Macaca fascicularis: one gene and its partner. The protein of the gene in region 1 purifies or fractionates together with the protein of each later gene. This does not show direct contact. Links are inferred from orthologs where the notes say so. Each region holds a gene or a part of one and is shown in the gene's direction. Other genes may lie near its edges.

Evidence for each region. The genes of interacting proteins can lie anywhere in the genome.
Region 2: the proteins of YAP1 (region 1) and USP9X purify together in Homo sapiens (affinity purification with western blotting; 3 studies listed by BioGRID, with this or other methods). This does not show direct contact. The link is inferred for Macaca fascicularis from reciprocal best matches to the Homo sapiens genes YAP1 and USP9X.

What each region holds. Positions count from the first base shown.
Region 1 is NC_088388.1:101,212,091-101,215,652, forward strand, and holds part of YAP1 (transcriptional coactivator YAP1), read left to right. Parts: intron 1-3,197; coding exon 3,198-3,391; intron 3,392-3,562. UniProt on the Homo sapiens protein: Transcriptional regulator with dual roles as a coactivator and corepressor. Critical downstream regulatory target in the Hippo signaling pathway, crucial for organ size control and tumor suppression by restricting proliferation and promoting apoptosis.
Region 2 is NC_088395.1:41,067,274-41,071,288, forward strand, and holds the start of USP9X (ubiquitin carboxyl-terminal hydrolase 9X), read left to right. Parts: upstream 1-1,213; 5' UTR 1,214-1,494; intron 1,495-1,761; exon of another isoform or gene 1,762-2,522; intron 2,523-4,015.

The sequences.
Region 1 (3,562 bases):
TGGGGATGCAGTCAGCAAAGTCCAGGCTGTAGAAAAGTCTATGAGGCAAATGACACAGTTTCTTTGACAAATAAATGACAGAAAAAACAAAGGGGGAACCTGTGTATTAAAACAGTGGTGGCCAGGCGCGGTGGCTCACGCCTGTAATCCCAGCACTTTGGGAGGCCGAGGCGGGCGGATCACAAGGTCAGGAGATCGAGACCACGGTGAAACCCCGTCTCTACTAAAAATACAAAAAAAAATTAGCCGGGCGCGGTTGTGGGCGCCTGTAGTCCCAGCTACTCGGGAGGCTGAGGCAGGAGAATGGCGTGAACCTGGGAGGCGGAGCTTGCAGTGAGCCGAGATCACGCCACTGCACTCCAGCCTGGGCGACAGAGCGAGACTCCGTCTCAAAAAAAAAAAAAATAAAAAAAAATAAAATAAAATAAAACAGTGGTCCTCAGAGTGCTGGCATGAATCAAAAGTCACTGGGAGGGCTTGTCAAAACACAGATTGCTGGCTTCATCCCATAGTTTCTCATTCATTAGCCCTGGGTCAGGGCCCATGAATTTGCATTTCTAAAACGTTGCTAGGTGCTCTTCCTCCTGATGATCCAGAAACCGCAGAACCATGTTATTAAAGAAGTCTTGGATTATGAATCAAATACAATGTATGGATCTTGTTTGGATTCTGTTTTGAACAAGCCAATTGTAAAAATAATAATAATTCCCTTGATAATAGGGAAGTGTAGGCATGGGATGGACTTTTGATAATTTTAAGGAATTGGTAAATTTTGATAGTGTAATCATGGTATTGTAATTATATTTTTCTTTTTTAAAGAAGGCCCCATCTTTTTAGAAATATATGTTGAAATTATGGGTAAAATGCTATATTGTTCACTTGAACATAATTGGCGCTGAAAAGTAGTTGAGGATAGAGGTAAAAAAAGATTGGCCAGATTTTGACAATTGGGAAGAACGCGAGTGATGAGTATACAAGGATTCATTATCTGTATTAATTTTTCTACTTTTCTGTGTTTATGGAAATTACCTTCAAAATGTAAAATATATGTTTGGAAACACAAAAATATATTCCTAAATAGCTCATAACTTAAATGTAAGTCACCATAGAAATTACACGTTTTTGGAATAGAACAGTCATGAATTATACTATTTCAAAACATGTGGGATGCAGGTAAAGCAGGACTTAAGGGTAAATTAATTGACTTAAGTCTTCCAAAAAAAGATTGAAATGAATTAAGTTCAACTTAAAAGTTAGAAAATGAAATACAGAAAAGCTGGAGGGAAAAAAATAAGAGCAGAAAAAAGGGAACTAAGTGAATAATGCAGTCATCTTAACTAGCTGAGAAGATTGGATTGAACCAAGGCATTATTCTGAGAGAGACTGGTCTGTAATTTTCCTCTCTGTAATATCCTTGGTTCTGTCTCAGTACTATGCTAGCCTGATAGAAGAATTGGGCAGTCCTGAGCCAGGTATGGTGCTTGCCTGCAGTCTCAGCTACTTGAGAGACAGACAGTAGGATTGTTTGAAGCCAGGTGTTTGAGACCAGCCCGGGCAACATAGTAAGACAGAAAAGGAAAAAAAAAAAAAAGTGTGGTAATCTAAAGAGAAATTAATAGTAGGACTTCTCTATTGTCTTAAATAGTTTCTGGCTCAGTATTTTTTCAGCACGCACTTCGTACCAGATGCTGTGCTAGGTATTGAGGACACATAGATGACTAGGATATGGCCCATACTCTGGCACTCAGTCTGAGGGAGCATATAAATTTGTAAACAAAAAATTAGAATCAGGCAGGAAACGTCAGTAGACAATATGGAAACGTTCCCAGGCAATTCCTTGAGAGAAGAAAATTTTTAATGTATAGGATGGACTCAGCTTTGTGAGGTTTTTCCTCAAGTAGTCTCCAAGAAGAAATGGCATTTACCAAGCAGGCAGTCTGTTATAATGGGACACATTAAAAATCACGAGGAGTTTGCTGTGTGACTGGGAGACCATTAAGTTATAAGAGCTGTCAGTGTATGTTATTTAGGATTTTTGTAGCAAGGTTTATATGAGAGATTGGCCTGTAATTTTCCTTTCTTTTAATATCCTTGTATGGTATCAAGGTTATGCTGGCCTTATAAGTGTTGGAAAATATTCCATCCTTGTTATGCTCTGGAAGAGATTGTGTAAGATTGGTGTTATTTCTTCCTTGAATGACTACAAAGCCATTGGGACCTGGGGTTTTCTTTAGTCAATGTGTACTAAACATTTAGTAGAAAGAGTGACCCAAAATTTCAACTTAAGTCGAATATGTATCTGAAAAGGTTTATTATTTTTACTAACATTTTCACATAAAACTTCCCTCTGCCCACTGGGGTTAATCCACAGTTTGATCAGTGTTGTATCAGTGACAGAAATTCACCAGTATGAAAACCCAGTCCATTTCTGACCACCAAATAGTGTATTACAGCTTCAAAAAAAAAATTTTTTTTTTTGCTATCTAGGCTTTGTGCTGTGTGTGCCATGGTGTCAAATGAGACAAATCTGTGTCATCCAAATACTTGTGAACTCAACTTGATATGAGCAAGCATCATATCATTTTAATCTACTTGCTTTATTGGGATGTGTATGTGGATATATTAAGGGCTGATTATTTTCATGGGCTTTGCTGCTTGGAATGCTTTGTCTTAGTTTTTGTGGATGAATTTTTAATTACATTTTTATATTTCATAAGAAGTAATGAATTTACATCATTCACACTTCAGAAGTTATAAATAAGGTTCTCCAGCTTTGTCCTTTAGTCAGCTAGTTTCTCATCTCTGGAACCAAAAGATGTTAGTTGCTTCTTAGCTATTCATCAATTTTTATATTCTCTGAATATGCAATATATATTCACTCCCACTCCCTCCCCTCTTTTTTTAACACTTTACCTTGCTTTTAATTTAGTAAGTCCTTAGAAACTATTCCTTATCATCATTGCCTGTTAAAACTACCTCTTGTTTCTTTTCTCTTATGACTTCCTTGTATCTTGTGACAACAGTAATAATAAATTAATGTAGTCATTGTAATATTGATGGATTTTTAGGTTATTTCCAGTCTTCTTGCCCAGAAAAGCTACATTGAATATCCCAAATTGCTTTTGAATAATTAAATTATCATTTTCTCTTCCTTCGCTAGTTTTTTAGGACAGATTTTTTTTTTCTTTTCATTTCAGCCATGAACCAGAGAATCAGTCAGAGTGCTCCAGTGAAACAACCACCACCCCTGGCTCCCCAGAGCCCACAGGGAGGCGTCATGGGTGGCAGCAGCTCCAACCAGCAGCAACAGATGCGACTGCAGCAGCTCCAGATGGAGAAGGAGAGACTGCGGCTGAAACAACAAGAACTGCTTCGGCAGGTGAGGCCACAGGTTAGAAACCAGCCTTCCACTTTTTGGGGTTTGTTTTCTTAAAGTTGGGCAGATTGCATTTTAACATTTATTAGTTACAGAGGAATGTTGTCTTTGTAAAACTGAGCGACACAGAAGCATTCTATCCAGCCCTGTCCTTGTCTTAGTTTCGTGACTGTGAATGGCCTTTGA
Region 2 (4,015 bases), on another chromosome or scaffold:
CCAGTGTTCAACACTTTCCAATCCTGACCTTGGGCAAATCATTTACCCTTTCTGTTTCCTTATCTAAAATCGAAGATAACAGCCTACAGTGTACACGGGTGGTCGTGTCTACTTTTTAGAAGCCCATGAGCTAGTGGGTAAGCAAATGATTCATGGAAATAATTACAAAAACAAGGTAACATATGCTAAGAGTTATTAGGGCTATGAATGATGTATCTTGGATACCCTATTAGGTAATTTTGTGGTGAAAAATTTGTAAACAATCTAGTGCTAAATAGAGAAATGGTTTAAAAATTTAAGATACCAATAACTTGCTTTCACTGTCACCTAAATTAGTTTGGTTCCATTTTTAACAGTCTTTTATTACAAACTGATATAATCATAGCATAACTAAATTCAACCCTGTTCTCTATAAAATCTCGTTTTGTAAGGTTTTACTATGATTTTGCATGCCATTTGATGTCCACAGGTAGTTTTAAGTCAAAAGGAAATCTGTAAATTAGGAACTGTTAATTTCCTCTTCATTTGGGCATCCTAGGCAGACTGTATAGAATTGTTCCAAGCACCCCATTAATTTGAGATTAGCCTAAGTTTTTCCTACGCCTGCACTTTGGAATATAAACATGTAGAAAATAGTCCATGACACAGCGGATGGGTTCATAAGTTTCTTCCGGGTTCTAACACCGAATCGTGCTGATGATCTGGCAATGGAGGCTAATCTTGCCATATCAAGTACGGCCTATTCGCTAAGCCGTCTGGGGTACTTTATAATTTTTTTCTTTCCTGGTCTGTTTGAAGGGCTCCTATAGCCAACAAGGTTGTCAGTCCCGTCAGTTACGCTGTGAGGACGCCTAAACGCTTTCAAGTACTGATGCTGCGCGATCGTGTGAAAGTGTTTCCCAGAGCACCTCCCTCGCGGGGTGGGGAAAAGGACCTCACTCCCCACGCCCCCTCCTTCCGCTGCAGGAGATAGCCACACCTTCCCCCTATCGGCGCCAAGCAGGTGGCCAGGCCCTCGGGACCTCGCGCCCCCGCAGCCCAGTGGCCCGGCCAGCTCGTGCGTCACGTGACGCGGGTCAGCTGCGCCGCCGGGACCTCCAGGCACCGCGGCGGCGACAGCCCAGCGCGTGGTCTCGGGATCTCATCTTTCCGCGCCCCTCCCCCCACGATCCCGGAAAAGGGGGAGGCCGGTGACGTCATCATCCGGGTTCTTGTCGGTGGGGCCACGGTTCACAATGGAACAAAAACAAGCGGCCAGAGTCAAACTATGAGCGACGCGGCTGCGGCTCACGCGATTAACCCCGTCGTGACCGCACACCCCGCCAGTCCCTGCCGCCCAGCCCCTCCGGCGTGGTGTGCCAGATCTTTTCGGGCCTCCCTTCCCCAACTTCGGTCCTAGAGCCACCTCTGCCCTCGTCCCGCTCCTGAGCCGAGGGGCATGGAACAGGATTTCTGGCGGTAGCACGACCCTGAAGGGGCCAGCCGGAAGAAACGGTACTGCGCGAACAATCTTTACCGCATTGTCTTCCCCTCCCCCACCCTAGCTCTCCGGGTTCCCAGCGGCTCGCGCCCAAGCCCGGCCCCCTCGGCGGCTCGCGCTGCTCTCCCAGCCTTGACGGTCCGGGGTGGAGGCGGGAGAAGAGGGGGCAGCTGAGCGGGAGGGGGCTGGGCAGGAGCAGGGGGAGGCCCGAAAGGAGGGGCCTGAGAGGGGCGGGGTCTGACGGGGGCGGAGAACTTCGGGTCTTGGGCGGCTCTGGGGCTAGTGGGAGTCTGCGCCGCCGCCGCCACCGCTGCTGCCGCCGCCGTCGCCGCTACCGCCGCCGCCACTGGCCGAGCGGTTTTTTTTTTTTTTTTGGTTTGCCGGATCCGCCATATTGACGAGGACGGGCATCCGCGGCTGCGGACGCTAGTCTCCGCCGCCGCCGGAGCCGCAACCTCTCCGCACCCGGCCCCGTCAGGGCCTCTGCCGCGCCGAGCCCCTCCCCGCCTTGCATAGCTCCCGGGCCTCGCGGGAGCCCTCCGCCGCCGCCTCTCTCTCGCGGGAGGCGGCCGCCTTAGCGCCCGGTGCTTGGGTCGGCGCCGGGAGCTAGGAGAGAGCTGCTGCAAAGCCACCAGGCCCGGAACGGGGACAGAGGCGGCGACTAGGGGAAGGTGAAGCCGTCGCTGCAGGAGGAGGAGCAGGAGGAGGTGACGCAGGAGAAACGCACCGCCCGGAGCCCGTCTGAGCTCAGCGAGAGCCCCAGCCTGAGGGGAGAAGGGGGAAGAGGGCCGTAGCCGGCCAAGGAGGAGGAGGAGGCGGGCGCGGCGAGAAGCGAGTTCCGGCGCCGGGCGTGCAGCCTTTTGGTTGAGACGCCCTCAGCCCCGAGCCCGGCCGCCGCAGCCTTTCAATACACTTTGTTGCCGGTCACCCACGGGCCTGGGATGCACCCAGGGTAGGTCTTGTCCCGAGACCGAGCCCCAGCGTCGCCTGCTGCCTCCCGCCTCCACGTGCCCTGGTTCTGAGAAGACGTCTGTGTCGTGCGGTGAGTGGCCAGCTGCACCGGGGCGACGCGCCTTCCCGGGGCCAACAGCTGGATGTGGGTGAGGGGAGGAGGGCGAGGGGGGTGTGCGTGTGTGTGAGCTTCTTCCCTCGGCGGCTGCCGGCCGGGCCGGGGCTTCCCCGTTCCCCCTCCTCCGGCCCGGGCTGGGCGGGCGCGCGGGGCCGTGTTGTGTGTGGAGCCGGTGTCCCGAGAGCGTGTCTTGTGTGTTTTGGACTGTAAGGGAAAATGGCTGACGGCTCCGTCCCTCCCCCTCCTCCCCCTTCCCGTCCTGTCTGGGGCCGAGTAGGAGGATGGAGTCTCCGGGCGTGGCGGGCAGCCCCCCCGCCGTCCGCACCCGGGGCCCGGGTCGGTTTGGGGGCTGGCCGCCCCCGGCCCGGCGGCCGCTTTCCTGCCCGGTCTGGTTCCACTTGACACCAAACGCCATTACTGAGGTGGAGTGATTTGGAGTCGGGGAGCTAGGCCTCGGCTACGCCTGGCTATCAGGCCTGACGACTTGTCCGCCTCCCCCCACCCTCCCGCGATAACCCGCAGTTTCTCCCCGGCCCTGGGCTCCTGGAGTCGGAGCTGGGTTATCGGCCTCCTACACTTCCTTAACCCCGCTTAATTTGCAGAGGGCCAAAGCCGTGAAAGGGGTTTTTGAGTGCAGAAATCGCTTCCAAGCTAGCTTGGACCTATTATCTTTCTATTTTTAACTGTTTCTGCAAATATTAGCATGTGCGAGTTTATTAGTGATCAGATCTTCAGATTCTTGTGACGTGAGGCTTAGGGTTGGATAAATGGCTGATTTTTCATTCATTGTGAAATAAGTTAAAGAGTTATAGAGCAGGTGTATAGATGGCTTCTTCAATTATTTGTGTGGATTTCTGTAGCGACTACAACTTACACGAGAATTTGCAAAATTTCTAGTAGAACCTGCTTAAATTAAGCATGTTATTTTTTGGAAGTTCCATAGTTATAACGTTAATTGAATTTACACGGTGCAGTTTACAGGTGTATATAATTGTTTCAGATTGTCTTTTAGTTTAAGCAAGTTGTAGGTATAGATTATTCATACTTTATTTTTCGGCGAGAGAAGTGTGTGTGCCGCTCTTTTACCTGGAAACCCATGAGTCCCTGAATCTACCTAACGTATGTATACTTTCACTTTTGAGGGGAATAATTTGGGGTGCATTGATTAGGAAACTTTCCAGCAGGTACTTAACCCTCTCGGAGCTAATTACCCTTAGGTAACTCCTTCACCATGACTAGCTTGGCTGGTTAGTACACTTGAACTTAAAAATAGAGACTACAAACTCTCCTTTAGATCTCGCTGGTCTTCTAATTCGCTGGGCTGCCATTTTGGTTTCAGCAAATGCCTTCAAATTCTTGAAGAATTATATATTAAATATAAAAAATGTCAACATTCTTTTTCTCAATTTTTAAACTAATGTGCTGTGTCATACATCTAACTTTAACCCTTTAAACTTTATCGTTCC